Ovis aries: one gene and its partners. The protein of the gene in region 2 purifies or fractionates together with the protein of the main gene of each other region. This does not show direct contact. Links are inferred from orthologs where the notes say so. Each region holds a gene or a part of one and is shown on either strand. Other genes may lie near its edges.

Region 1 (4,527 bases), on a different chromosome or scaffold from region 2:
TCCAAACCAAAAGGCAGTTAGCAAAACAACGATTGTATTTCTGAACATTTAAGTTGATAGAGCAAGGCTTTAGCCTCAATTATTTACTTGTTTTTAATCCTGAAAAAAGTCTTGAAGTAAATACTCGACCTGTTTTAAAATAATTGAATTAAAAGTTCATGAGGCAAAGTGACTATGTTTTAAAAGACTCAAATGAAAAAAATGTTTGAATTTTGTTTAACATATGTTAAGATGTTTAAAACAAAGGACACTGAAAGATATGCAGTCCATGGGGTCGCAGAGTCAGACATGACTGAGCGACTGAACAATACGGTATCTTCAGGAGGAAAAATAGAAGATTCTGATTTTGTCAAGGTGGAATAAGAGCCTCTGTGTGTGTGTGTGTGTGTGTGTGTGTGTGTGTGTGTGTGTAAATGTATCCTTTTGTTACTTTTCCTCTGAAGCTGCTATTTGAGAATGTTAGGGACCCTTCCAGTCTCACTATTTGCTCTACCAAATAATACATTTCCTTTGAGGAATCAAAATGAAAGTCAGATTCTCTCTCTTACCCCCTCACCCTACCTTTCTCACTCTTATCCATGTTACAGTGACTTAGAATCTTCTGAACCCTGGCACTATACCTCTGAACTGAACCTATGGCTGCAGAGAGAATGTTTTAATATACCTGTCTGTGAGGACTGGTTGGGCCCGTCCAGTTGAAGTTCTAATTTAGGTTTAAATAAATTGTCCATTGTCACAACTCAAAAAATACACAAGTTATTTCCTTTTTAAGGAGAAAATATTTGATTGCATTTGACATGAAACCTTGAGTAATGAGCTGGGAAGACTATAACTGTAGAGATTAAGACATAGTTGTTTGATGAAAAAGCTTTGCTGTGTTCCCTTTCTGAATCAGTTTATATATAATTTTATATAAATTAATATATAAGTTTACATCCAAGCGTTTTCAGTTTTTTTTTCTAATCAATAGACCATTCCAAAGTCTTGCCTTCACGTTCTGCCCATCAGAGCTCTAATATGGAGTATCAGGCCACGCACTATAAGCCACCACACCTTGGTGTGGAGATAATGTAATGGACAGGGGGATTCATACTTGTCTACAGAACAAATCCAAAGAAGCTGTTCTTCTGTTCTACTTTAGGCCACCATACATTAGGTCGCCTGCTTATCCCAGCCAGTCTGGGGCTGGCGGACGCCCCATGTTTTCTTCCCAGCACCCCAACTATGGCAACTCTCAGGCTCCCATGATGCACCAGCCTGACCAGTACGGGTAGGTAGCCACACACCCTGACTTGCTGCGGGACCTGGGCATTTGTTTAAACTGTTAATGAACATGCCATCTGGCTGCAAAAGGAACACCCAAAGCAGGAGCGTGAAAGATCCAAGAGAAGGTCCATCTCAGAGGGGGTTGTCTTTTGTTTATTTTTGTTTGTTTTGGGTTTTTGTTTGTTTTGTTCTGTTTCGTTTTCTCATCCTCCCCAGCAGTACTGTGGTAGTTTGGTAGAGACCTGCATGTCGCCACCCCACCCCCCACCCCCGCCACCCCCCCAATTCTGTCTCTGCATGACTTCGGCATGGCTTCTTTCCTTCGTGCCTGAGAGGGAAACAAAAACTTTTATCCATGTAAAAGTAATGAAGTCACCTGCTCCGGCGTCATGTCCCCCACCGTTGCTGTCGTGTTGTCTAGGACGTGTGTTGTGCAGCACTGTTACCATGACCGTGTCACTGTCATTCCTGCCACAACAGCGGCCAGCTTCCACACCCGCCCTGAATTCAGAGAGCAGCAGGCGCATTGACGAGAGCCCCACGCAGGAGGCAGGGCGGAGGTTATTAATAGGACTTGGGAGGGTCTAGTGACATCACTGAGCAAACATCTGCGTCAAAGATTTCTATTCTTTCCTTCTCCCAAAGGAGGATTAGAATATCAAAGTCACCGGGAAAATATAACCAAATAATCCAAGACAGGATTTTTTCCCCCAAACACAGTGTTGCCATATTATTATCAGTTTCAACACAGGAATTACATACAGCAACAAAAAGTATCTCTCTTCTTTGCTGCTACAAAACTGTAATATCAGGCTGTCACTGTCTTTAGGTTAGTAAATAATCTTAAAGTATATTATTATTGCGTATTTAAGCAAAAATATTGTTAGTGATCTTATTTAACATATAGTAATGATGAAATTATCTCCTGTAGATTGAATTGTGTTCAGGAGCTACTTTCAGTAGAAAGATACAACATTTTTGTAAAATAAAAAACAGGGAACAATCAACTTTGTTAAAAGACTGAACTTACATAATTGTGTTTTCACTACTTATTAGGAATGTATGACACAGCTTTTTAATGTATTAGGCAACAAGTGCAAATGATAGTTTTGCCATTGAAAGTTCTAGATCCTGTAAACACGGTCCTAATTGTCCCAACAGATAAAGAGTTCTGTAAACATAATCCTAAAATTGAAATAAGTATGGAATGAGGTAAACATACTTATTTTGGAGAAATTGCCTTTCATCTTTTTTCCTTTCTTGTGCTATGTTCAAGGTCACTTCCTGAGTTGGTAGGAAGATAAGAGGGGAGAAAAGCATTTATCATCAGCTGCTAATCCATAGGCTCTGTCCTTTACCAACTCAGGAGTCCTATTTAGACCCACAAAGCTAGTTTGGCTGGGCCTTGCCAAGCCACATTAAGCAGCTGTGTAAAATGAATTTAAATGGCATGCATCAGAGTAAAATCTCTTCCACTGGGGCAGAAAATCAATGTTCGCCAACCAGCACGAGAAGATCAGATCTGCATTTCAGCCAGCAGCATCCAGATAGCTTCCTCAGAATTCAGCACCTCCTCCTTAATTAAAAATAAGGAAAAGAAAGATGTTGGCGTGAGTCCGTAAATTGTATGAAACCCACTTGGCAAAGGCTCATCCTTACAGCCCCATTCCTGTTAGCTCTGAATTTTGCCATTTGTATTTATACTGTTCTTTCTGAAAAAGAAAGTTTTATTTCTATTTTAAGTCTTCCTTCCTTTGCAATATATATCCTGTTGTGCCCTCCCTTTTTTTTAAGCAGAAGCTTGATTGTGAGAAAGCATGTGTAGTACATGTTTCAGTGCTGGCAGTTAGGAAATTTGATTTTCAGCATTGTTTTTGCTTTACCTAACACCTCCTCGCAGCAAATTGTGTTTTTGCTTTTGTTTTCTTTCCTCATGGATATCTCTGTGAGGTTAAAGTTAGGTTGGCAACTTGAAAAAGCAGTTCAGTAAATGGCAGATTTTATGGAAGAAATAGCTCAAACCTTTCAAAAATATAGTATTCAGAATTTGTTATAATGTCTTCTTTCTCAAGTCAGAATCCCAGAGGGCCTAGAGCCTATGAGGGAATCTGAGAAAGACAGATAGTGATGAAGGGAGGGAGTGAGTGTGAGAGAAAGAGAGTGTGTGTGTGTGTGTGTGTGTGTGTGTGTGTGTGTGTGTGTACATTTAGAGACAGAAAGCTAACTGCAAAAATGAAGGATTATGGCAGTTATGCTTCAGAGTTTCTCAACTAGTCAGATATAAGATAGTTTAGAGAAAAAAAACAAAATATATTTAACTAGTTTTATTATTTCCTTTTTTAAGAGTGACACTGAATAAGTTCAGAAACATATGGATGAATCAATTTTTTGTCACCTTTTGAGTGAAGGACTCCCTCATTTTGATTTTCAGACAATTTACAATAGAATGTTATGACTCTTACCGTTCAGTTACTAGATTAGCTGCATAATACTAGCCAGTAAATTGAAATGAACAGTTTGTATGTCATATCTGTCCAGGCTACCCCCCCATACACACTTGATATACTTTTTACTCAGAAGATGCCTTGCTGTATTCATTTTTAAAACATTTCTAGATAATGTTCTGCTCTTTTGAAGCCATGAGAAGCAGAGAGTGGGAAATACAAGTTGTCATACTAAAAGCCTAGTCAGAGCTGGCAGATGACGTTCATATTCAGTCCAATTCTGACGGCAGTGTGTAGCATCACTTTGGAAGAATTCTGAGACATTGTCAAAGCTCAGGCGAGCCAAAGTTGGCCAACAGTTTAAGAAAGATGTTGACTTACTGGTTCTAAAGAAGCATTTCCATGAATCCCAAGCTGTAACATAGTCCTTCATATTTGTTGAATGATTGACCTCTGTGCTTAACACACATATACACACATGTGAAATCAATTTTCCTCAGTCATTTAGTGTGTTTTACTTTCATTCATTCATTCTAGGTGCCACCCATCTAGTATTGTCCAACAACTGACATTTTTGCTCAATACAGCTGATCTGTGGATTTGGATATTTCAGCATTATCCAGATTTTTTTGTTTTTCCTTAGAAATAAGCTCCAAGGAATATGCATGACTTCAGTGAATTTACAGAAGGCCTGGCAAGCCCTAGATCTTTAGGCCATGGTAGATTTTTATTCCTTGAAATCAGCCAGCCAGAGCACCTCCTGTAGCTCAACCTTAATCAAGTCTCTAGTGGCTTGAGATGGTTTGTGTCAAAGTCC
Region 2 (4,981 bases):
GAGCAAACCTACACAGACAGAAAGCAAATTAGTGGTTATCAGGGGGTGTGTCATTAGGAGGTGAGAATGGGGAGTGACTGCTAATGATAGGGTTTCTTTCCGGACTGTTGAAAATGTTCTAAAATTGATCAAAGCATTAACAGTAAAACTTTATGAATATACTTAAAACCACTGAATTGTACACTTTAAAACAGGTGAATTATATGGTATGTGAGTTATATCTCAATAAAGCTATTCTTAAAAAGAAAGGAAAGTTAAAAAAACTAACCAACATAGAAAAAGAAATACCAAAAAACTTTCATATCAATCTTACTGAGAACACTCTGAGGTCTTTCCTTTATTCTGATAGTCCATTATACACTGAATAAGATGGTTATTTTCATCCAGCATCTGAAATAAAAGTAAAAAAAGTTTATTGTAAGTCTCATGCATCAAGTAAAATAAAAAATTAAGATTTCTATAAAAGTTTATCTATACAGGAACTGACTCCACAGTTCTTTTTTATACCTACAATATAGCTCTGCATAAAAGATCTTATTTTATATCTTTGGGATGTTATGTTTAATCAACAATTTCTTTTTTTTAACCACTGCCACCCAGCTTGTGGGATCTTAGTTCCCAATCAGGGATTGAACCTGTGCCCCCTGCAGTAGAAGCTAATCTGTCCTAATCCAGAATGAAGTAAACTGATGAAAACTTCAGCACAGGAGGCTTAAGGAGATAGCTGGCTAGCTTCCAAGTTTTATGTTGATGTTCAGTCACTAAGTCATGTCTGACTCTTTGAGACCCCATGGACTGCAGCACACCAAACTTCCCTGTCCTTCACCCTCTCCCAGAGCTTGCTCAAACTTGTGCCCATGAGTCCATGATACCATCCAACCATCTCTTCCTCTGTCGCCTCCTTCTCCTGCTGCCCTCAATCTTTCCCAGCAGTTTTATGCAGCATGGTTTTGTGACTTTCCAAATATGCAATAATTCCAATAATTTCTCGGTAAGTACTATATTAACCACAGACCCTATGAGCCAACCTTATAATTGTCCCAAAAGTTTAAAAACAAGCATATATTTATCATACTATGAAAACAATTCAAAGCAAAACTGGCTTTAAGGATTAAATAATGCATCTAAGCAGAGTGGTGCTGAGGAAAAAGCACTGATGTAGCAATTAAAAGGCCAGTTTTACTGTCAAGCTATCCTGAGCAAACCACTCAAGATGTCAAAGGCTCAGATTTATCAAGGGACAGGAGTAGATGTTCCTCCTCAAACCGCCCCCACCCTTCCAGGATTTCAAAGCTTTAATACCATAACCACTCTTTCTCATTAATTTAGTTAATGTAATTCTTTTAATTAAACATGAAGATCCATTTAAAAGTGTGACTTCTTTTCTGCATATGAATGTCTTTACTTGGTGGAAAAAAAAAACATTAACATGCCCTTCAAAAAAAAAATTGCAGTTTTCTTCTTATATCTACTCATCAGATGCCAAAAAAATTGTCTTTAGAATGTGTTTTAATACAATCTCCAATCTAATGATTTCACAACCTATCTTCTCAGTAGATTCCACGGTTTAACAATCTTCACCATTAGAACGTCTGGGTTTGTCTTGTATCTAACGTCATTCCCTCACGCTATACAATCAGGCACTTAATGTGGGATCCTTTTTCTCTCCTGAGCTGAGGATGAACACTTTAACTGATCAGCATCTCTTTAGTTAGTCACCCACGATAAATTATCTTAAGATGTAGGTAAGAAAAATTCTTCATAGGAAATACAAACTCAGAACTTTTCTACAGTCCAAAAAGTGAAGCCTTCCAGAAACACGTTTTGTGTACGTGTACTCGTAGCTGTTTGCCAGGTCGCAGACTTCTCCCAGCACGCTATACAAAAAGCACTGCATTTTCAGGCAATGCCAAGCGTGTCTCTTCATAAATAAAGCAACAGTTGGGCAAATGTCAAACGCCACACTGTAAAGAGCCTGAGAGTCAACAGAAGCCTATTAACATAAACTACTAGGCATACGATGGTGTCTTGACAAGTCCTGAAAGTTGACTTTTTTTCCGTTTTGATCTTTATTCCGGTGCATAAAACAAAACCAAACTATTTAGGGTAAACTGCAAAATTTAGCAAATAACTTTACAAACTCTGGTTCACTAAAATTCAGAATGCTGCAGTGCTCAAAGGCAACAAGGGGCAGAAAACAATAAAGAAACCTTTGTGTCCCCAACTAGCAAGTAACCGCGGCCACAGCGCAGCTCCCCGCGTGTGTATCACGTCTTCTGAAACTGATCACGAGGCTCAGACTGTATCCATCACTCGACCCTAAGCTCCCTGAAGGCAGGCAGGGACCATGCTCACCACCGCAGCCTCGGCGCCTACGCTTGGCGCTGCAGCTGTAAATCGGTCGGGGGTGGATCCGGAGGGGAGAAGCGCCTCCGAGAGAACCCCGAAGTCTAGAGGGTGCTCCCTCGTCCGCCTCGGAGCCTCGGCCGAGGTTTCCCGCAGCATTCCCCAAGTTCTGCTGAGAGCTCCCCAACTCGGCTGGAGTTTGCAGCCGAGCACCGAGAGCAAGCAGCGCTCCTACTTCTCCTAGGCCCACCCCGGGGACCGCGGTGGGGTCGACCCGGAGCGGCCGCCGCACCGCGCGGGGCGGGGCGACGCCAAAGTAACTCCGGAGCGACGCGCGGATCGCGGGGGGCGCGGGCCTCGGAAAACAGCCCTGCCCCGCGCGGCCGCCGCCGCCGGGCGCACGCGCCCCGCCGTGCGAACGCCGCCCCATCCCCAGAGAAATCGGGCGGCGGTTACTAGGGCTTTTGTGCCCGTAGGAAGGAGCCCGAGGGGGCGCGCAAGACTCCGCGAGGGGAGCAGTTCGCCCCCTCCGCCACCCACTCGGGCGCAGCCCCGCGGCTCAGGTTCCCACACCCGCCCGCCAGCCCAGCAGGCCCGCCTCCGCCCCCGGCGCGGCCGACAAGCCCGGCCCGAGCCCAACCCCCGGGTTCCTCCTCAACGCGGTCCGGGCCTGGCATCCCCGACGCCGCGCGGCTTCACCTTCTGAATCGCGGCGGGAGTGATCTCCCCCTTGCCGCGCTGCCTCGGGGCCGCGAACGCCACGGACATGTTGCCGCCGTCACCACTACGGGTAAGTCCCGAGCGCTCCGGGTGAACGGCAAACTGGGGGAGAGACGCCGGCCTCTCGGGCCGAACCACGTCGGGCTCGCGGGGAGGGGGGATGCTCCGGCGCCCGACGGGCAGCCGGCCTGCCCCGCCTGCGGGAGGAGCTCTGGCCCGAATTAGTCCGGTTTCTGCGCAGTACCTGGGAGCCGCGGTCCCCGCAGAACGTCCCTGTTCTCGGTCGCCCTCCGGTTCCTCCGCCTGTCCTTCCCCGCCACCCCCGGCCCTCTGCGCTCGTGGTAGGGCCGCGCCCCAGCCCTCCCTCCGCTTCAGCGATTCAGGAAATGGTCCCGCCGCCCGCGGGAGAGGGAGCGGCTAGGGCAGCCCCTGTCACAGGAAATGCGAGCGCTCGAGCCGGCCCGCCCCCTTCGCGCGGGGCCACTTGCCTCCCTCTCCGCGCGCCCGGGTGTCCCTCGGCGGCGTTTCGGCTCTCCGCTCTAGAGCTCGAGCAGTTTTGCCAACTTCATCTTCAGCCCCTCCTGGGTAGAAGTGGCCGCCCCGAGCTGTGCGGGTATCCGGAGAGGGGAGGAGGAAGGTCAGGAACGGGGAGTTTCGTGCGCACCCGTGGAGCATCTGCTGAGACCGGGCAGGGGTGGCCGGACTAGGGAAGCGCCGATTCGCTGGTTTGAATGGCTCGGCTACGCCCCGAAGTGCGCACCTCCGAGTCCACGGTCTCGTGCGCGCACACAGCCCTGCCGAACAATTAGAAAGTAAGCGCGACCCAAAATCGGGAAACGAAGGCTATGTCCTGTACTTCATGGGCAGTCGGCCAGCTTGGCTGCAGCGGCCAGAGTTCGCCTCTTAGGATAAACCCTTGAGGGAAATGTGGGTCAGTTTCATCTGACTTGCATCTTTGGAATTAGGTTTTGAAATAGGGCACCCTCGCGCTTTTCTTTTGCAATTATGTATTTAGTGGCTTGCTTGTACATGAGGCCCAAGCTAATCAGTGTGAGGGAAAAAGCCAAAAGTTTCCAAATTGTGGAAGGGACATGGGCAAAGGTCCGTAATATGTTGGTGCAGGGTTTGTTAATACACAGTAAAGTTAAACTTTCATGTAACAAGAAGGAAAAGTTTATATAAAAATGTCACCCAACATTAATGAGGCTCAGAAATCAATCCCTTGGTTTATATATAAAATAAACCGGAAAAAAAAAAGAAAATTTCCTTATTTGAAAATATGTCTCAAGTAAATGCTCTTCACAAAAAGGTCATGAGTTTCATTCATTCAGCAAATTTGGGTTCTTTTTATGTGCTAGCCTTTATTGTAGGCACCTGGGATACAGCTGTGAACAAAATGGACCCAGTACCTGTTCTCAAGGAACTTAAACTCTGATAGGGTTCAGAGACCAGAAACAAGTAAATAGGAAGGCAAGCAAACTGGGAGACTGACAGAGGCACTCAGGTGGTTGTGATGGGAAGTCCCCTTGGTTATATTTAACCTGAGACCTACAGGATAAAGAGACTCAAGACATCCTCAGAATAAAAGTAAGATGATTTGTACTTCTGCAAATAGTAGTTTCTTACAGGAATTGTCTTTCACTACCCTTAGCATTGACAAGTAAACTTGGACATAATGCAAACACATCAATTTGGAAAACCTATTGATTTCAGAACAGAAGCTAAGTCTTGTCCAAAAGCCTGGCTTCCATGGTGGTGTGTTGATGTTTACACAAATGTGCTTTAGTAGTTGAGAATATCTCAGTAGGAGAAATGAAACTCTTACTGCTCCACTTCCATCTGCTAGGGAGATAGCATGGAAACTGTAAAAGAAGGACGTGAACCAGTAGCAACACTGAATTCCTATAGCCGGGCA
Region 3 (4,527 bases), on a different chromosome or scaffold from region 2:
CCACTTTCCTAACGTGGGCCTCCACCAAAGCTGTGGGTACCTCTTCCTTCATTTTGGAGAACTCTTCTGTAAGACCCAGAGAGGGGGAGGCTGGGAGCAGGCAGGTAGGCAGTTCTGGCACTCTCTGTGAGAGCTCCCTCACAAACCCAGCTCTTCATCTCTGCCTGCGTGGAGCTGGACCGTTGCCTGGGCTGATGCCAGCCGCAGACAAGGCCAGTAGGGCAGTGAACTTGAGGGGGTTCCACAGTCAGAGTACCCAGCCTTTCAAATGCAAACCAAGAGGGATGGGAGCCCTGCGCGTTACCTAGGGCTGACTTCGCAGCAGCTGAGGCCACTCGAGGGTCGACGACAGAGGCCAAGAAGGCAACGGTGCTCATCACGGGGTTGCCTGACTGGCTGAAGGGGATGGGCTGGTAGGCCAGGGGGCCCAGGGAGGCCTCTGAGTCCTCCAGGTACGGGTCTTCGATGGGAAGCCGGAGAAAATGCAAGATGCATTCATCCTGTGTGCGGCTTCCCACGTGCTCTGACACTTTGTTCCAGTCATCTTTGTACATTTCCAGTGCCTGGTGGTGGTGGTGGAGACACAACCTCACTTACTCCAGTAGCCACCTCCCTCAAAGGTCAGCGTCCTCAACCCCGCTAAGCAGAGCTGCTTCAGAGCTCTCTGGGTTGTGATATTTATATACTCTGCCAGGCCCAAGGGGAATCTCCAAGTAGCACTTGGTAAGGACAGGGGACTGACAAAATGGTCTCAGTCCCTGCCCGGCAGCTGGCCCCTGGGGGAGTATATGATGGGCGCTGGGAAGGAGAGAGACAGGGCGAGGTCACGCCCTCCCCACTCCCAAGTGCGGCCGGCACCCTGGCCACTTCCCTTTCACAGGACTCTCCTTCCCTGGCCCCAGTTACCTCCAGGAGCAGCAGGGTCTCCTGTTCCGTCCACTCTCGAGTGGCACTGGCTGCGGCTTTGCTCTGCAGGGGAAACACGGGTGGGTCAGCAGGAAGAGCCTGCAGCCTTGCAGGAGGAGGAGCCCCGACCCCAGGTGCCCACCACCCTGTACCTTGGAGGGGACGTTCTTCTTCGTGTACATGTCTGTGCGCAGACCGAAATTCTGCATGTCTGTCGGTTTCTCCTTGCCTTTGTCAGGGAAGTTGAGCATTTGCTGGGAAGCAGAGTTCTGCTATTTGTGGAAGGGAAAGAGAGAGGTGACTCCGAGTGACTGCCAGGAGCCAGGGGCAGACAGAGAGAGAGGACAGACAGAAGGGGCTCCCTTCCCACAGCCAGGGACACCCCTGCGTGGACTTCCTCACTGCTGTAGCTCCTCTGCTCTCACGGCTCTTCTTCCCGGGCAGGGGCCCCCCAATAAAGGGGCAAAGAAGCAGCCCAGCGGGGTCTACACCCCACCTACCAGCTCTGGCTTGCCCTTAGCCGTCTCTGGCACCAGGTCATCCAGCTCTTTGCCCTTTCGCCCAGCCTTGGTATCAGCATCAACCTGGCGGCCCTGGGGGACAGAGCTTGGTGTCATGGAGGCTGGGCACAAAATGACCAGGCTGAGGCCCTGGAGGCCTCAAGACCAAATGCTGGGCAGCCCGAAGCTCGGGGGGCACTCATGCCACAGTTCCGTATTCCCTGAGTGGTTAATTAGACCTGGAATTGGCATGATATCCATTTGTATTCACATGTATCTTTACGGGTTCTCTTAGGAGCTGGACAAGTAGGTTCTAATCCTACATGTCTGACCCTGGGCAAGCCACATAACAATTTTTGTAATGTATGAAATGGAAATGGAAAAAAATGGAAGTGATAAAAATTATGAAGCAAAAATGAAAAAATGCTGGAAACGTGACAAGGTTAAAAAATTTCATGCAACTGAATTGTAAGCCATTTTTCTCTATCTGCTCCATCCCCTACATTAGCCTGTCTGCTCCCCGAGGACAACAAGCATCTCTTCTCCCTCAGCAAGTCCTTGCAGTCTTAGGTACAAAGGCTGAGAGAGGGTGCTAAATACATGGGACTGATTCCTGTGGCCCTTTGCATCCCATGGAAAAGGAAGAAGCCTCAAACACTCCTGAAACATTACCCTAAAAAACCAGAAAAAGAAAAGTCCAAAGAAGCCCGTCTGCCCAGTTCCACCCCGTCCCCGCAGCCCCTCACGCTACCTGCGGGGTCTTGGGCTGCAGTGGCACCAGCCCGGATGGTGTGTCTGCCAAGACGTGGAAGTGAGAGGTGGGCGGAGGCCCCATGGGAGTTGGTCGACTCTCGGCATCCACCTGGTAGTTAATGAGACCCCACTGTTCTAGGAAGGCATGGACCCTGTGAGGAGAGAGGCAGAGACTGGGTCACACACGAGGACAGGGCCGGGGGCACCCTCTTCTCTGCTCCTTCTACTCCCTGGGAGATACGGCTTCCTGCCAGCTCCTACACACCAGGGACAGCCAAGTCCCCATGCGCACCAGGGCCTCTCTCCATATCCACCCATCAGCTAAACCTTGCTTCCTGCCTCTCTCACCGGATGGGCTCCTTCACTACAGATGTGCTCCTTCTTCCTCCCGCCACACTGCAGAGAGCGCCCTGCACCCCCTCAGTCACCCTGACCCAAGCCTGAACTTGGCCTTTCTCTAGCAGTGTCTTTCCTGCTCATCCCCTATGCTCCTTGCCAGCAGCCTCTCTACTTCGACCAAGAGGCATCTGTGAGCATCGTCCTTGAGCCTCTGCCACCCCTCAGCTGCAGACCCACCTCATGATGGCACAGACGTCACCCGCCAGGTTCCTGCGACAGGCGGTGGACGTGAGATACTCCTGGGGGTTCAGCCGGTAAGTATCAATCATGAAGTTCCGATAGGCCAGGTAGCTGAGAAGAGAGAGATGTGAACGGTGAGAGGGCTGAGGGGTAGGGAAAATTGGTAAGAGAAGAACAGCCTTCATGTGTGACAGAGAATGCCTCATCCAACTCAATACACACTGCGGGTCGCCTGTGTGCTAGACATGAGGGGTTCAGACCCTCGATGGGATTTTTCGCTAAATGAGTTATCTCCTTGGCTGTGTGTGCTTGGGGATGTTTCGTCCAACTCTTTTTTTTTGGCCATTCCACATGGCTTGCAGGATCTCAGTTCTCTGACCAGGAACTGAACCTGGGGCCTGGCAGTGAAAGCCCAGAATCCTAACCCATTAGGCTAACAGGGCACTCCCTCATCCAACATTTGGAAAAGAAATCAAAAAGAGAAAGTGCCCTTAATTCCAAAGGCAGATGTTAAAGGGAAGTCCTTAGGGGTGCCTCCACCTAGTTAGCAGGGCACAGCCTTAAGAATACATGTTTTGAACGTGGAAAGGTCTACGTTAAAATCCTAGTTATACTATGATGGTCTTAAATTTTTGAAACTTAGTTACCTTAACCGTAAAATGAAGTGTCTGTTGAGAATAGAAAGGTCTATAGAGATACAGAATAGTGCTGGGCATGCTGTACAAGCTCCAAAAATGGCAGCTATTGTGCGGCGTAACGTAACGTTTGAGAACATGAGGCAGACTACAGGACTCAGACCCCAGCTTTATTACTCACGAGCTGTGTAACTATAAGCAAGTGACTGACGCCCTCCACACCTCAGTTTCCCTGTCAGTAAACTGAAGATAGTAAGAGCTACAGCTAAAGCTGATGTGAAGATTAAATTAGTCAAGGTATGTAGGATACTTAGGATAATGCCTGGGAGATAAAGGGCACTCAACACATATAGGCCATTATCGTTGTTTGGTATTTTACACCCAGAGTGCAAAGTGTAAAGAGTTCTAGTTCCAACTCTGCCTGCAGATCAAGTGGAACTCATGTCATCTGTCACTACTGCCTCTGGAGAGAGCAAGGCTTCTTTATATACTGCTTTCCTCAGCAAGAGGAGGAGAAGAGAATCATACCAGGCTGTGGGGAAAGAAACACGGTGGAAGGACCCTGGAGCAGGGAGATGGGGAGCTGAGGAATAGCTAGGAAGCCAATGCGTTCAGTCCTCAGGGTGCCTGGGCTCAGCACTAGCTCCCACCTGCCCAACCGTATCTATCCTGGAACATTCTTAACCACAGAAAACCACCAAACTAAAGCCAGGCAGGTTTGGTCTGAGGAGGAGCCTCGAAGGACATGAAGATGTCTGAGCCCCAGGCCCAGACTTTACAAAACACATCTCTCCATCCTTTAATTCACAGACTGGGTCTTAATAGTTCTTCTTCCCATTTTTTTCTGTCAAAACCTACTCTATGGGACCAGTAATAGTCAGTTACACTTTAGCCAAAGAGATTAATTATGCTGGAGATATTTGCATTTTAGACAGCACAGGTAAGGCTGGATGGAAAGCTCTAAACCCTGTTAAAAGAAACAGAGGGAGGAAACACAGCTGAGCCCAGGGGGAAGCAAATATTTGTTTTGAACAGAACAGCAAGCTTTACACAGCCCCCAGCAGATCCCAGAGGCAGTGGTCACAGTGCTGGGCTGGAGCTGCCTGTGGGCAGACAGCATGTCTCCGTGAGCCTAGCACAGGGCCTGGCTCATG
Region 4 (5,134 bases), on a different chromosome or scaffold from region 2:
AGTCAGTTTCTGGTAGGCTGGTTTGGTTCTTGGCTTGAGGCGAAGAAAACACCACTCTTAGAGTCTTAAGAAGTTTGTGCCTTTTTAGTTTAAGATGATATTAGGTTTTCTGGGGGTTAAGAATGAGTTCAGGTTTGGGGAATTATTCAGTGGCCAGTGAGTGGCACAGCCAAAAAACCTCCAGGGGCCTGCGGAATCTGGAAATTCTAAGGTAATGGTTCTGTGGCCATGAAGCATCTATTTACAATATTTAAGTGGGGATGAAACCCTGGTGTCTAATGACTAGCTGACCTAGCATCTCTCAAGGCAGCCCTGGGCTTCGTGAGAAGCCGGTATCCCTTCTGGCCTGTGTAGCCTGTCATGTCAGAGCATTCTAAGTCAGTCAGAGGACAAGGCTGCTGCTGAGATGTGGTGGAGCCTGTGAATCTAGAATTTTCTGTGTATACCTCCAGTTCACTCAGCATCTCCCATTCAGCATCTCTTAGAATGTAACAGTAAACTTTAATGATTCCTTACAATGAAGGATAGAAAAACAAATTTAGGCTGCATCTGTTTTCTGAGTGAGGTGTTAGACTGCACCTTTTCTCTCTTTTTAAGGAGAAAACGGTTCCCTCTACTTGGTCATCCCTCTTCGGCAGAGGTTCCTTTGAACACTCAGGTTCCACCAGTCCCTGGAGTCTCTTCTGTGGTCTGTTACAGTCTTACAGGTACTGTCTTTGGAGACGGGACCTTGGTCATTGTGGGCAAAGGTGGGGCTTGTGTCTTCCTCCAAGAAGGCGGTCATATGTCCCCAAAATATCTTCAGGGGTGACCATTTTATATCGGTTGAGATGACCAGCTTGAATCTCAAACCCATTCTGATGTTCTGATCCCACTGTTGTATATGGCACCACTTTTCTTTTTATTACTATTATTTCTAACGCTAAGTAGACAGGGGCAGCACTGGGGACTCTGCTACTTTTTAAAGTCACCCTCCACTGCCCTTGTCTTTGTAAGTGATAGACTAAGTGATAGGCCGGTCCCCTTCGCTATCTTATGAGTCTGTAAAATGGGGATCAGGAACTTCGTGCCCCCAGGGCCTGTGAGGACCGGCTAATGAGGGCAGAGAGTGGGAAAACGGAAAGTCTGAAACAATGATCTGTCATTCCATGCAGCTTGCAAAGAGGATACAACGTAAAGCTCAGCTGGGTCTTTGGAGCAGGTCTGCAAAAGGCTTTGAAGAAGGAAAAGTGCCGCGGAGATGCTAAGTAGCGGCCAAGAGACCAGGCCCGCTGCCAGGGGGGGTCAGGCCTGGGCCGAGGCGGCCGCGGTCTCGGGCTCAGGCCAATTTTGCAGCCGCGAGTAAAGTTCACGCTGCCCGCGGCGCGAAGGGGACCGACCTGGATAGGGAGGCCAGGAGGGAGGCGGCGCGCAGGCTCCGGAGAGGCGCGAGCTCCGGGCCGGGTTTTCCCCGAAGCCTTCGGCGGCGGCGCTGCCGAGCGAGAGCGGCAGAGCGCTTGCCGCCGCCGCCGCCGCCGCCGCGGCTGGTTCTCTCCCCTCCTCCTTTGTGAGGGGAAGGGAGCGAGTCCGTTCCACGGCCTGCGCCCCGCTCCGCGCTCCGTTCCGGGTTTGCCAGGCGGCCGCGACGGCGCTGGGTAAAATGGCAGTGCTGAGCCTCGTGTCGGAGTGAGGGGGACTCGGAGGAGAGTGGGGCGCTCTAGCCGCTCAGTCCGGCCGCCCGCCCGCTCGCCCGCTCGCCGCCGCGCAGCAGCCTCGGCCCGGCGCCGCGGCCGGGGAGGGGAGGCAGGGCGCCCGGCCCGGCCCACGCTCCGACTCTGCCTGCCGGCGCCCGGGCTGCTGCCGCGCGCCCTCCAGCCCGCCCGTCCCGGGTCCCCCTCCCCCCGCTCCCTCCCTCCCTCCCCGCCCCCTCCCCCTCGCCTCCCTCCCTCCCCTCCCTCCCTCCCTCCTTTCTCCGGCAGCAGAAAGCGGAGAGTCACAGCGGGGCCAGGCCCTGGGGAGCGGAGCCTCCACCGCCCCCCTCATTCCCAGGCAAGGGCTTGGGGGGGAATGAGCCGGGAGAGCCGGGTCCCGAGCTTACAGAGCCGGGAGCAGCTGAGCCGCCGGCGCCTCGGCCGCCGCCGCCGCCTCCTCCTCCTCCGCCGCCGCCGCCAGCCCGGAGCCTGAGCCGGCGGGGCGGGGGGGAGAGGAGCGAGCGAGCGAGCGAGCGAGCGAGCGCAGCGCAAAAGCCGCGGAGCCCCGCGAGGCCCGCCCGGGCGGGTGGGGAGGGAAGCCCGGGGGGACTCGGCCCCGGGGCGGGGTGGGGTGGGAGGGGGGTGAGAGAAGACGAAGACAGGGCCGGGTCTCTCCGCGGACGAGACAGCGGGGATCATGGCCGCGCAGGTCGCCCCCGCCGCCGCCAGCAGCCTGGGCAATCCGCCGCCGCCGCCCTCGGAGCTGAAGAAAGCGGAGCAGCAGCAGCAGCAGCAGCGGGAGGAGGCGGGGGGCGAGGCGGCGGCGGCGGTCGCGGCGGAGCGCGGGGAAATGAAGGCAGCCGCCGGGCAGGAAAGCGAGGGCCCCGCCGTGGGGCCGCCGCAGCCACTGGGAAAGGAGCTGCAGGACGGGGCCGAGAGCAATGGGGGTGGCGGCGGCGGCGGAGCCGGCGGGCCCGGCGCGGAGCCGGACCTGAAGAACTCGAACGGGAACGCGGGCCCTAGGCCCGCCCTGAACAATAACCTCACGGAGCCGCCCGGCGGCGGTGGCGGCGGCAGCAGCGACGGGGTGGGGGCGCCTCCTCACTCAGCCGCGGCCGCCTTGCCGCCCCCAGCCTACGGCTTCGGGCAACCCTACGGCCGGAGCCCGTCTGCCGTCGCCGCCGCCGCGGCCGCCGTCTTCCACCAACAACATGGCGGACAACAAAGCCCTGGCCTGGCAGCGCTGCAGAGCGGCGGCGGCGGCGGGGGCCTGGAGCCCTACGCGGGGCCCCAGCAGAACTCGCACGACCACGGCTTCCCCAACCACCAGTACAACTCCTACTACCCCAACCGCAGCGCCTACCCCCCGCCCCCCCAGGCCTACGCGCTGAGCTCCCCGAGAGGTGGCACTCCGGGCTCCGGCGCGGCGGCGGCGGCGGCCGCCGGCTCCAAGCCGCCTCCCTCCTCCAGCGCCTCCGCCTCCTCGTCGTCTTCGTCCTTCGCTCAGCAGCGCTTCGGGGCCATGGGGGGAGGCGGCCCCTCAGCGGCCGCAGGGGGAACCCCCCAGCCCACCGCCACCCCCACCCTCAACCAACTGCTCACGTCGCCCAGCTCGGCCCGGGGCTACCAGGGCTACCCCGGGGGCGACTACGGCGGCGGGCCCCAGGACGGGGGCGCCGGCAAGGGCCCGGCGGACATGGCCTCTCAGTGCTGGGGGGCTGCTGCTGCTGCGGCGGCGGCGGCCGCGGCCGCCTCGGGAGGGGCCCAACAAAGGAGCCACCACGCGCCCATGAGCCCTGGGAGCAGCGGCGGCGGGGGGCAGCCGCTCGCCCGGACCCCGCAGGTAACACGGCTGGTGGGGTAGGGGGGGCTGTGGCGAGTGGGGCGGGGGGGTCCTGGGAGTGGATGGCGGCGGCGGGGAGCGGGCCACGGCCGTGGGCTACCCCCAGTCTGGGGCCCCCACTGCTGGGGAGCTGCCATTGTCTCGCTCTTTCTCTCTTAAAATGGCTGCCCGTCTGCCTTCCTCTCTTTCCCTCCTTCAGCCTTTGTGTGGGGCTTTCCTTGAGGTGTCTGCTCCCCTCCTCCTCCTCCCCGGGTCCCTTCCAGCTCCGGGGGGTCTTCAGAGGGGTGCGGAGCCGGGTGTGCGGGAAAAGGGCCCGGCCCGGGGTGAGGGGGTGTTGGGGGCTCAGGTTAGGGGTGTAGGCAGCCCTCGGAGGTCGGGAGTTGAGTGAACAGTTCTTTGCTCACCTGCCGCTCCTCTCTGCCCTCCCTACCTTCCTCTAGGCCGGTCCCCATCTGTGCTTTCAAGGAGGGGGCCCCTCGGGCTCGGGGGGACCTCGAGGGAGGGCAGGGGCCTGCTTGGGAGCAGCTAGAGCCCGGCTTCGGTTCACCCTGGGCAGCCCAGGTCGTCTCCTGTCTTAGTCTCCGTCGGCCCAGTGGCCTGGGCTTCTCCCTGGAAGTGCTGGTAAACAGCTGAGTGATTGGAGTAGTAAGTGCAGATTGCTTTGGTTTGGGATTTGAATTATGGAGGTAAAATCCTTCTGTCAAAGCCAGGAGACAGTTGGTCTTAGGTTGACATCCTATCTGTGATCTGATTGGCTCCCCATCTCCTGCTCTTGGCCATTTATAATTGCCTCTGATGTAATGGTACAACAATCCTGATGAGCTCATAAACTTTTACACTCTGCTTTTCTGCCAGTGATAACCCAAACCATCGCTGCCACTATCTGCCTTTTATTCCAGAGCTGAAATTGGCTGTGACCTTGAGGAGGGAGATTTAAGCAGCAATACTGTATCAGCAGGAGCAGAGCCCCAGACAGGCTGCCCTTGTTACATTGTGCCCGGAACAAAAGAGGAGGCAGTGGGATTTTGCTTGTACCTTGGATTTATTTTGCTTGTTATGTTTTATGCAGCCTGAAATAGATTCTGTGTTGTCCGAACAGTAGCTGAGTTTTTCTCTACAATGGGTTTGCTGTTTGTTTTGGTTTTGTGACTTTCCTGATGGTATAAATGACTTCTTTGATGGCTCTGAAGATGCGTTTGTCTTGAGTAATTTTGACCCTGTTCGCTTTGCAGAATTGAAATTATTTTACTGAGCTTTTTATTGAGTGGCAAATGTGGGATCTTTATCAGAGGGGGTAAGAGAAAACTTTGAGAACTGGAGGCTTTCTGAGAGAGAATTTCACATTTAAGTGTTCTAAGGAAGGCTGGCGTCATTCTTTGTTTACATGTTAAATCTTGTTAACACTTTCTTTTGTTAATTAAACTTTGGGAGAGCAGCTCAATTTAAAGGGAAGGACATCTTTCATCTTTCCTGATCTTGAGAGGTACTGTTTCTTAAAGGCTTAGTTTGGTGAAATTTATCATATATTTCTGGAATATCAAAAAACCCAGTTTTCTGTTTTGTCATCATTTTACAGCTTGAAATACAGGTCAGTTTTTTTCTCTGCATTTTAAGTTCCATT
Region 5 (4,527 bases), on a different chromosome or scaffold from region 2:
ATTCTTTTTTGCTCTATCCTCATCAGATCCTCTCTTCCTCCAACTTGTATTTCGTTATCAGCTCTCACTCACAATGCAGTTTGCCCCACCTTCTGAAATCCCATTTAACTCACCGGAGCTTTGATAGAACATCTCTCGTCATATCTCAACCCCACCCCCGACAGTTTCCAGCCTCCTTGCTCTGACTTTGCAGTTCTCAGCCTGTCTAGCCCTTCTTTCCATCTGACTTACAGTGTCAGTATCAATTTCCATCAGCAGAAACAAAGGCGCTGCCGCACTCAGCCTTGTTTATCCAATTTTCCTCTGTTTAGTGAGGACATGGCTGCCTCCTAAAGGCGAGCAAATATGAGCCTATTCCTTCTCTTTATTCTCCAGCACAGGCTTCATGCCTACCTCAAATTACAGTCATTACAGCACATTGAATCAAGCCAGACTATCTTGTGATGTCACTGCCTGCGTGCAGTGTATGTCTTTGTTGGTTGCTGGGAACGTTCTAAGCTGTGCCTCAGTGGCTGCCCCATGAAAGCCCCTCTTCGATTCCAGAGCAGGGTTTGTTGCTGCAGCTTGAGTTACGAACATAAACGACAGAGATTTACTGTGTTCAACTTCTCATGCTTGGAGTCTCCCTCTTGTAGAATATGTCAGAGCTTATCTAGTTCAGCCTCCCTAGTCAATAGCATACCTGAGATCCACGTGGGTTGACTAAATGTCCATATATGTGGTGACTTGCAGCCAAGCCTGATCTTTTTACTTCTGAGTCAGGATATTCCAGACACCTTCATGGGTGCTGAGGATATTGTGGGAAAGAAATCATCTGCCCTCAGTTTGTTTACTTTAAGATCAATCAAGGGAAATTCCCTGGCGGTCCAGTGGTTAGGACTTGGCGCTTTAACTGCTAAGGGCACAGGTTCAATCCCTGGTTGGCAAACTTTAAGATCCTTCAAGCCACGTAGTGCGAAGAAAGAAAAAGTTTGCTCGAATATATAAATGTGAATTGTGTTAGTTTAAGCTCTAGTATTACTGTGCTTGTTAAACCCTGAAGGATGAGAACAAGGTTGGTTCTGTATACATGCTTCTTAGAACCAGATTACTCCTGGCACTGCAGTTTTGCAGCTTTTTAAAGCTCTTGCTGCTGCTGCTGCTGCTGCTGCTGCTGCTGCTGAGTTGCTTCAGTCCTCTATGCGACCCCATAGAGGGCAGCCCACCAGGCTCCCCCGTCCCTGGGATTCTCTAGGCAAGAATACTGGAGTGAGTTGCCATTTCCTTCTCCAATGCATGAAAGTGAAAAGTCAAAGTGAAATCACTCTTAAAAAATTCAAATTTCAAAGGAGGTCTTTTGAGTTCAAAAAGGTTCTTAAAAAATTTGTTGGTGTGAGAATGGAGAAGGGTCTAGAATAGGCCTTTCTGCAAACAGGTTTTGTATCAGTGTAATGGTACTCAGTAGAAAGTAGGCTTCAAGGGTGTTCACATATTTCCAAATGATTTATATTGATTGCAAAGTTAGTATATAGAATTAGCTACTTTGCAAATACCTAGTTTAAAACTCAAAAGATATAAAATGGCACAAAGGAGAAAGTCCCCTAGTCACCTGGTTTTTCTCCTTGGACTCCTACAGTTTCTTTTCCACCACTTAGGGACATCCCATAGCACTGCTCAGCCCTGTACCCCCTCCCCTTTTTTTGTAGTTATCTTGGAGATTGTTTAATGTTTGTACATGAAGAGCTTCCTTTTTTTCTTATAGCTAAGTTGAATTTCTTTGTATAGATGGAGTTTGATAAACTTTAGTAAGTCCCCCCAGATCTTTTGAACTCTTCTCATTTGTAAACAGGAGTAACTTCAGCTTCTCAGAATCCTGAGGGTTAAGATAAGTAGCTCTTTGGTTACCAAAGTGTTGGATTCACGAGAGGCACAGAACAAACATTATTTTCTTCCCCTCTTTGTGGGTTAGACTAAGGACTGATTAGACACAGGGTGCAATCATGCGCTCTGACGGTAATTTATTTGTAAGGTACTTTTCCTCATAATGGCCTAGTGAAGGGGTTTGGTGTCCCATGAGGCAGAAATGGAAGCAAATAAAAGCAGAGTGACATTCTCCCAGTCCCTTGAGCCTTCTAGAGAAGCAGATGGCAAGGGAAAGGGATAGCCCAGCACATAAACACACACGTGCGCAGTCACACCTGAGTTTTGTCTTTCCTGAAGCCTTGGGGAGCAGTATTACAAAGATGCCATGGAGCAGTGCCACAATTACAACGCCCGCCTCTGTGCTGAGCGCAGCGTACGCCTGCCTTTCTTGGACTCACAGACGGGAGTAGCCCAGAGCAACTGTTATATCTGGATGGAAAAGCGACATCGGGGTCCAGGTGAGAATCCACTCAGGAGCCCAAGGAGGAACCAGCTTCCTCATCTTAGGTGATGAGCCAGCTGAATAGGTTTTCCCTGTTGCTTTCCACCCAGGGATGCATACAGTCTTCCCGTGATTAGAAGCCTGGAGAGGTTGAAACACCTTTTGTTGTCCACAGGGCTACACTGCTCAGGGTCTTGCTGGGCTCTGGAGAGCTATGTGTTAGCCAAGGCTCCTGAGCTTAATCTGTTTTCTTGTCCATAAGCCATGCCTCCTCCAGCCCCAGGTGCTTACCATCCATATTCCTCCCTTGCTCTAGAACGCTACTCATGTAGAAAGTGTTTGATACTATTTTCTAGAGCTGTGTTAGGGTTTGATTTCTCTCTTTTCCTTCCTTCCTTAGGATTGGCCTCTGGGCAGCTGTACTCTTACCCTGCCCGGCGCTGGCGGAAAAAGCGGCGAGCCCACCCTCCTGAGGATCCAAGGCTTTCTTTCCCATCTATTAAACCAGGTGAAGCACAGTCCTCCCTGAGCGGGATATACCCTGCTGCATAGTCAGAGGCCTGCTAATCACTTGTTACATACCAGGCCCAGTGCTAGATTTTGAAGATACTAAAATGAATGACATGTGAGTCTTTCTGTAAAGAATTCAGTCTAATAGTTAAGAGACAAGTAAACAGATAAGTTATGGTGCCAAGTAAATGAAAGCATCTTGGTTCCTGGGCAGCCAGAGACCAGAAGACAGTGACTGGCTTGTGATTGGTCTGACACTGTAGGTCAGGCAGATCTGCGTTCAGCCCTTGTGAGCCTCACCTCCTCCTGACCTTGCCCGCAGACACAGACCAGACCCTGAAGAAGGAGGGGCTGATCTCTCAGGATGGCAGTAGTTTAGAGGCTCTGTTACGCACCGACCCCCTGGAGAAGCGAGGCGCCCCCGATCCCCGAGTGGATGATGACAGCCTGGGCGAGTTTCCTGTGACGAACAGCCGAGCACGGAAGGTACACGATTAACACTATGGTTAAGGAAACTGTGGTGGAAACCAGTCTCCTCTTCATCCGAGGCCACCCAGTAATCAGGATAGAAGCAAGAGCTATGGGCCAGGAGGGGCCCCTGCTGTTCTGCCTGCTCCATTCCTTAGTGAGCACTGCGTACTGACGGGCTGCACTGTCACCATCCCGTCTTGCCTGCTCCTTTTCTAGTAACTATAGACTCTCATCTTCTGCTGCCACCCGAGTTTTTTTAGTGCCTGGGGTTACCTAGGTGATGTCTCTGCCAACAAGGAAGCGAAAACTGTACGTAAAAATATGTCAGGCACTGCTAAGCGCTTTTCCATCATTTTCTACAGTCTCTACAATTTTAGGAAATAGGTACCATTGCCCATTTCACAAGGAGGGGTGGCGCGCTACAGCACATTAGGAAAAAGGAAAAACCTGCCTCAAGTAAGCAGCATTGCTCCAGTTTAACTCTGGGATGTTAGGTGTTGGAAGGGAACCACTGCTGACATGCTCCCAGGTGGCAGATCAGAGGCAGGAGAGGGCATGCCACTTGGGGTATCAGGGAAAGTTTTATGAAAACGTGGCGTTTGATTTAGCTACTTGGAGATGGTGGAAAAGGCATTCCAGACTAGGGGAACAACATGAAGAAAGGCCCAGAGGAAGGAGAGCCCAAAGCCTTGAAAGAACAGCAGTGAGGAGTGAGGCTGGAGTGGAGCCGCTGGGTCACGGAGGCGGTTCTGGCAACCTTGGCCAGTCCCAACGTGGGGGAGCTGTTGGATGTTCTCATTTCTGCCCATCCTAATCCTCCTGTCTACTCAGCGGATCCTAGAACCAGATGACTTCCTGGATGACCTTGATGATGAGGACTATGAAGAAGACACTCCCAAGCGTCGGGGCAAGGGGAAGTCCAAGGTGAGGGGCAGCCCAGGGGATTGGGGAGCCTGCAGAGTCCCACTGTCTTACTGCTGCTTGTTGCCATCATCCTTCCTGAATGAGATTAGCAGCCGCTACCAAGAGAATAACTCTTCAGGCCCAGACACCGTAGTTAAGGGCTCTTCTTCTTTGCAGAGTAAAGGTGTGGGCAGTGCCCGTAAGAAGCTGGACGCTTCCATCCTGGAGGATCGGGACAAACCCTATGCCTGTGACAGTGAGTGCCTCACGAGTGGGTGGGTAGTCCTTGCCTTCGACCC
Region 6 (4,527 bases), on a different chromosome or scaffold from region 2:
ATAAGAATAACGCATACCCTAACCGACCTGTAAGTGTAATAACATGAGAGTACTATTATTTGCTGGGTTCTGGATTTAGGCATGTATGTTACGCCAGGTCAATTGTTTGGAATGTGTTATTACGGTGGTTGTGAGGATTAAATGAAAATTACCGTAAAGGGTCTAGCGTATGATAAGTGTTCTGTAAATGACAGTTATGATGACGAAGGAGGGGGCGGGGTAGGGAGAGAAGAGGGGAAGGGAGAGGCCACAGAAGGGGAAGAGGACGGAGCGGCCTGGCACGCAGGAGGTGCTCAATAATGTAGATGCCCACTGCGTGCCCCGCTTTGGGCTTTGCTCATCATCCCTGCTCTCATTTTCAGGCAGAGACGGAGGTCTGTATCAGTGGATCCTCTTCCCCGGCTGAGCCAGGACAAGACCCCCAAGATGCCCCTGTCCCCATCCTCAGGGGCCAGCCTCAGCCTCCATGCCAGCGCTATAGCAGCTGATCCCTAAGGCCAGGGACCCAGGAACCGCACCTCCTTCTCTGAGGCACAGCCTGGAGGTAGGGGAGGTATCTGGCAGCCTCGGCCTCACCTGCACCCCACTCTGCTCTCAGTGACTACGCCCCAGCCCCTCACTGGAGGGGCAAAAAGTGCCTCAGGGAATAAGTGAGACGCCCTCCAACCCTCTCCCACTGGCTGCTACCACGGGCGTCCTGCCCACCACCCTCCTCGAGCCCCCGTGGCCACTTACCCCAGGACCTTCATAGAAGGCACTTTGGGCCTCCCCGGGATTATCCAGGAGGTCATCACTGTCGAGCTGCAACAAGACCCGCCCCCACCCAAGGTCAAAGGTCAGCTGGGCAGTGGGCCGGCCCACACGCTAGAACAAAAACCAATTTCGTGTTACACGGACACAAAGACAAAGACGAGGTGGGGGTGGGGGGGATGCAGGGGGTGGGGGAGGTTCGAGGGGTACGGAAACTCCACCTCCAGAAAAGAGGCCCCAAAGGAAGGGGCTTGGCTGCAAGTTTAAATCCTAAGGAGCCCCCAGCACCACGTCCGAGGCTCCCCGACATGCCTGCCTGGAACTCTAGAATCCTGCCTCCGCACCTTCACCCAAGCAGCACCCCGGGCCTTCACCCTCTGCCTCTTTGGTAACACATCCTGCAGGGCCTGTCACACGTGCCTCCTCCTCCCGACATGTGCCCGTCTGTCCCTTCCAATGAAATCAGTCCTTCCTCTGCACAGCCGCGTTCCTTGGGCGCCGGATGTGTGAGCTGCTCCCATGTCTGGGAGGGCAGGGACCGGTCTCATTCCAGGAGTTATCCTCAATGCCGAGAACAGGCCTTAAGCGCCCACTGTCCACAGTCGAGCTCCCCAGTTTCTAGCTGATCCCCTTCTAGAACCCTAGACTGGTATGGGGTTGGCCAAAAACTTCATTTGGGTTTTCTCATTACATCTTACAGAAACATCCAAACCAACTTTTTTTTGGCCAATTCAACATATCTAACTGCTGCCCTCGGACTTCTGGGGTCTGCTCCAAACTCCCAGTCTCAGGGAATGGTACAACCCTTTTGGTTGCTCAGGTCAAGTCCAGGAGGCAGTCTGGACACTTCTTCACCATCTAATCCACTGTCAAGTTGAGTGACGCTGCCTTCCAGGCACCTCCTCCACCGCCTGCCTTGGGGCCCAGGCCGCCATCCTCCCATTGCACTTGCCTTTGCTCCACAAATTATTCGATACATCCCCTTGAGGAGTGGAGCTCTTTTCCCTCTCTGAGAGTGTGGGTGGGCATGGTGACTCGCTTCCAGTGAATGCAGTGTGACTTCGGAGACTAGGTCATAAGAGGCGCTCAGCTTCCTCCTGGCTCTCTCCCCTGGGTCACTTGCTTGGGCAAACCAGCTGCCACGTCATGAGGATGCTCAAGCAATCCTCTGGAGAGGCCCACGTGGCGAGAAGCTGAGGCCTCCAGCTAACAGGCACAGGAGTGGAAGCAGGCCCCCCAGCCCCAGGCAAGCCCCCAGATGACAATGACTCCAACCAACATCCTGAATGCTACTCAGGGGAGACTGCAAGATAGACACCCAGGCTGCTCCTCCATTCCCAATCCCCAGAAACTGAGAGCTCTAACAAATGTTATTAGAAGTCAGTAGAAGCCACAACGCATTGGGATAACTTGTTATGCAGCCCTAGGTAACGGATACAACCCCTTGTGGCTCAACAGATGTCCCCTCGTCCCCGCTGTGTTCCATTCTCCGGAGTGCAAATAGAATATGCCATGTGGCTGCTTAATAAACTGTCGGAGCTGCCTGTCACATTCAGAATAAAGTCCAAACTCCCCAGTCAAGCTCCTCTAGGCTCTGCATGACCTGGGGATTTTTGTCCACTCCAGTCTCCCCACCTACTAGTTTACCTTTCATCCTGGCCCCACTGGCCTTCTTTCTGTTCCTGGAACGGGTCGGACTTTCCCGCCTTCCCACCTGCTCTCCCCCTGGTCAGAGCACAGTGGGTGCCTCCCTTTGGTCCTTCAGCTTCACCCTCAATGTCGCCTCTCTGCCCACTGCAGCTAACGAAGCCCCTGCCCTTGCCCCCCACCTCCCATTCATTTTCTTCGGATCCTCCTTTGTGGTGCAAAAGTGATGTTGCTATTTCTTCTGCTGCCCGGCGTGGTGCTTTCCACCACTGCCTTTATTAGTCACTGGTTGCTTGTTTACCCAGGAAATGTGTATGGCGTGAGGGCAGGGATTTGCCGTCTCTTTCCCTCTTCGCCGTGAGCTTGGGGCCTGGCTCCTGGAAGGCAGATGTCTACTCAGTGTGGTGGTGGGGGGCTTGACTCACAGCACCCTGCTGCCCTGGGGGATGCCTCGCCCTGCCCAGCACTCACCTTCTCGGATCCATGTAAGAAGTCATTGAGGGCCTGAGGGTCACTGAAAGAGAGAAGGGGAGAAACACTTGAGGAGATGAGGGACAGGGGAGAGGAGGGAGAGTGAGGGGGGAAGGGGGGACGGGAATCCCACTACTCACCAAATCACGTCTAGTAAGCATCTCCCATCCTCATCATCCATCGCCACTGGATGGGGCAGGGCAGGAAGAGGGCGACAGGTTAGATGGTGGCAGCGGGCCAGGACCCTCCCCACAAGGACCATTTCTTGGGGGCCCAGACCCCTGGAGTCTGTGGGCATGGACGGTGGGGGGGCGAGGCAGGACCCTCCCCACCAGCAGCTCTGACCAGAGAGACACGGCTGCCTTTTCCTCCTCCCTCTGTCCCCCCAGCATCCGGTGATGACAACGATGACGTCAGTCCTGACTAAGTGAGCCCTGATCACGTGTGGGCCCCGTGCCAAGTGCTTCACACACGCTAACGCAGTTAATCCCCAGGGAACCCCTCGAAGTGGGTCTTGCCACCCCCCCAGCTTCGCAGAGGAGTTAATGCAAGAGCAGAGACTGTGGTTCTCCGTCTCCTGGCTCACAGAGATCTGGCCCCAGAGCTTGTGTCTGCCTCCTGAGGGCAGGGCTGGCCCAGTGCGGGCATTGGGGGGCTTGTCCTACACGCGACTGGGTTGGGGGGAAGGCATGAAGGGGCTCAGGTTCTGGGTCCCCGTGGAAGACACATGCAGTGCAGTTCTCACGGAGGGAAAGAGAGGGACAGGGACCCAGAGGGTGGGCGCTTGGCGTCAGAGCAGCCGCCGGAGCCCGGCTGAGCCTGTCAGAGCGATGAGGATGAGGACGGCTAACATTTGGCCCGGGCTTATCACGTGCCCGCCAGGCACTGTCCCAAGCATTCCACTAATGTTAGCTTGTTCAATCCCCATGGGGAAGGGTACTGTGTGTCCCATTTTATAGCGAGAAAACTGAAGTTCTCTGTGTTTGCCATCCCCCCAACCCTCACCTAACCTCCCATTGCTCCAAACATCCCACCAGGCTTCCAAGTACCCATCTTGCCAAACTTCCGCCTCACGGTCCATCTCTCCTGTCTTCCAAACACATCCAACTGATCCATCCATCTGCCCACACATCCTTCCCTCCCAACGATGCAGACAGGACCCGAGAAATCACACACAACCCCAGCCCAGAGCCGTGGACTTCTCACCCTCTCTTTTTTTTGTTTTGGTAGGGAGAGCAGGAGTGGTCCTGAACTCACTGAGGAGGATCTACCCCTCCCTACACCTCAAAACACACAAAATCTCACTTGTGCCCTCAGCTGGGTCATGATTCCTCACTCTGACAGATCCTCTGAACTTCGCAATCGCCACTCCAACCCCCAGTAACCTCAACGGCTCTGTGACAGCCTCGGGAGGAAGCCCGCGTCACTAGTTTAGGGTCTTCTCTGAACTGTGCCTTGGAGGGTCTGATGAAAGCAAAAAGACCCTCTGGCCAGAAACACGCATGTGGGCCAGATATGTTACGCGTACTTCTGCATGGGACATGCACACACATATGCACACACGTACACATTTCACGGGCCCCGGGTTACAAGGCCAGTCTAGAACAGAAACATCCATCTTCAGGGCCTCACACGCCAATCACCCTCCCCTCTAGAGCT

Evidence for each region.
Region 1: the proteins of SS18 (region 2) and ARID1B purify together in Homo sapiens (affinity purification with mass spectrometry; 4 studies listed by BioGRID and IntAct, counting the BioPlex papers as one, with this or other methods). This does not show direct contact. The link is inferred for Ovis aries from reciprocal best matches to the Homo sapiens genes SS18 and ARID1B.
Region 3: the proteins of SS18 (region 2) and SMARCC2 purify together in Homo sapiens (affinity purification with mass spectrometry; 3 studies listed by BioGRID and IntAct, counting the BioPlex papers as one, with this or other methods). This does not show direct contact. The link is inferred for Ovis aries from reciprocal best matches to the Homo sapiens genes SS18 and SMARCC2.
Region 4: the proteins of SS18 (region 2) and ARID1A purify together in Homo sapiens (affinity purification with mass spectrometry; 7 studies listed by BioGRID and IntAct, counting the BioPlex papers as one, with this or other methods). This does not show direct contact. The link is inferred for Ovis aries from reciprocal best matches to the Homo sapiens genes SS18 and ARID1A.
Region 5: the proteins of SS18 (region 2) and DPF2 purify together in Homo sapiens (affinity purification with mass spectrometry; 4 studies listed by BioGRID and IntAct, counting the BioPlex papers as one, with this or other methods). This does not show direct contact. The link is inferred for Ovis aries from reciprocal best matches to the Homo sapiens genes SS18 and DPF2.
Region 6: the proteins of SS18 (region 2) and BICRA purify together in Homo sapiens (affinity purification with mass spectrometry; 3 studies listed by BioGRID and IntAct, counting the BioPlex papers as one, with this or other methods). This does not show direct contact. The link is inferred for Ovis aries from reciprocal best matches to the Homo sapiens genes SS18 and BICRA.

The regions. Positions count from the first base shown.
Region 1 is NC_056061.1:81,525,853-81,530,379, forward strand, and holds part of ARID1B (AT-rich interactive domain-containing protein 1B), read left to right. Parts: intron 1-1,141; coding exon 1,142-1,270; intron 1,271-4,527. UniProt on the Homo sapiens protein: Involved in transcriptional activation and repression of select genes by chromatin remodeling (alteration of DNA-nucleosome topology).
Region 2 is NC_056076.1:31,045,163-31,050,143, reverse strand, and holds the start of SS18 (protein SSXT), read right to left. Parts: upstream 3,155-4,981; 5' UTR 3,137-3,154; coding exon of another isoform or gene 3,115-3,136; coding exon 3,046-3,114; exon of another isoform or gene 2,635-3,045; intron 391-2,634; coding exon 314-390; intron 9-313; exon of another isoform or gene 1-8. UniProt on the Homo sapiens protein: Appears to function synergistically with RBM14 as a transcriptional coactivator. Isoform 1 and isoform 2 function in nuclear receptor coactivation. Isoform 1 and isoform 2 function in general transcriptional coactivation.
Region 3 is NC_056056.1:163,368,074-163,372,600, reverse strand, and holds part of SMARCC2 (SWI/SNF complex subunit SMARCC2), read right to left. Parts: intron 2,850-4,527; coding exon 2,736-2,849; intron 2,312-2,735; coding exon 2,158-2,311; intron 1,500-2,157; coding exon 1,407-1,499; intron 1,179-1,406; coding exon 1,059-1,178; intron 970-1,058; coding exon 907-969; intron 564-906; coding exon 305-563; intron 67-304; coding exon 1-66. UniProt on the Homo sapiens protein: Involved in transcriptional activation and repression of select genes by chromatin remodeling (alteration of DNA-nucleosome topology).
Region 4 is NC_056055.1:240,200,543-240,205,676, reverse strand, and holds the start of ARID1A (AT-rich interactive domain-containing protein 1A), read left to right. Parts: upstream 1-1,604; 5' UTR 1,605-2,367; coding exon 2,368-3,513; intron 3,514-5,134. UniProt on the Homo sapiens protein: Involved in transcriptional activation and repression of select genes by chromatin remodeling (alteration of DNA-nucleosome topology).
Region 5 is NC_056074.1:39,986,410-39,990,936, forward strand, and holds part of DPF2 (zinc finger protein ubi-d4), read left to right. Parts: intron 1-2,199; coding exon 2,200-2,360; intron 2,361-2,744; coding exon 2,745-2,852; intron 2,853-3,176; coding exon 3,177-3,340; intron 3,341-4,156; coding exon 4,157-4,249; intron 4,250-4,405; coding exon 4,406-4,484; intron 4,485-4,527. UniProt on the Homo sapiens protein: Plays an active role in transcriptional regulation by binding modified histones H3 and H4. Is a negative regulator of myeloid differentiation of hematopoietic progenitor cells. Might also have a role in the development and maturation of lymphoid cells.
Region 6 is NC_056067.1:54,357,407-54,361,933, reverse strand, and holds part of BICRA (BRD4-interacting chromatin-remodeling complex-associated protein), read right to left. Parts: intron 3,055-4,527; 5' UTR 3,050-3,054; coding exon of another isoform or gene 3,009-3,049; intron 2,912-3,008; coding exon of another isoform or gene 2,895-2,911; coding exon 2,869-2,894; intron 2,775-2,868; coding exon 2,699-2,774; intron 802-2,698; coding exon 736-801; intron 1-735. UniProt on the Homo sapiens protein: Component of SWI/SNF chromatin remodeling subcomplex GBAF that carries out key enzymatic activities, changing chromatin structure by altering DNA-histone contacts within a nucleosome in an ATP-dependent manner.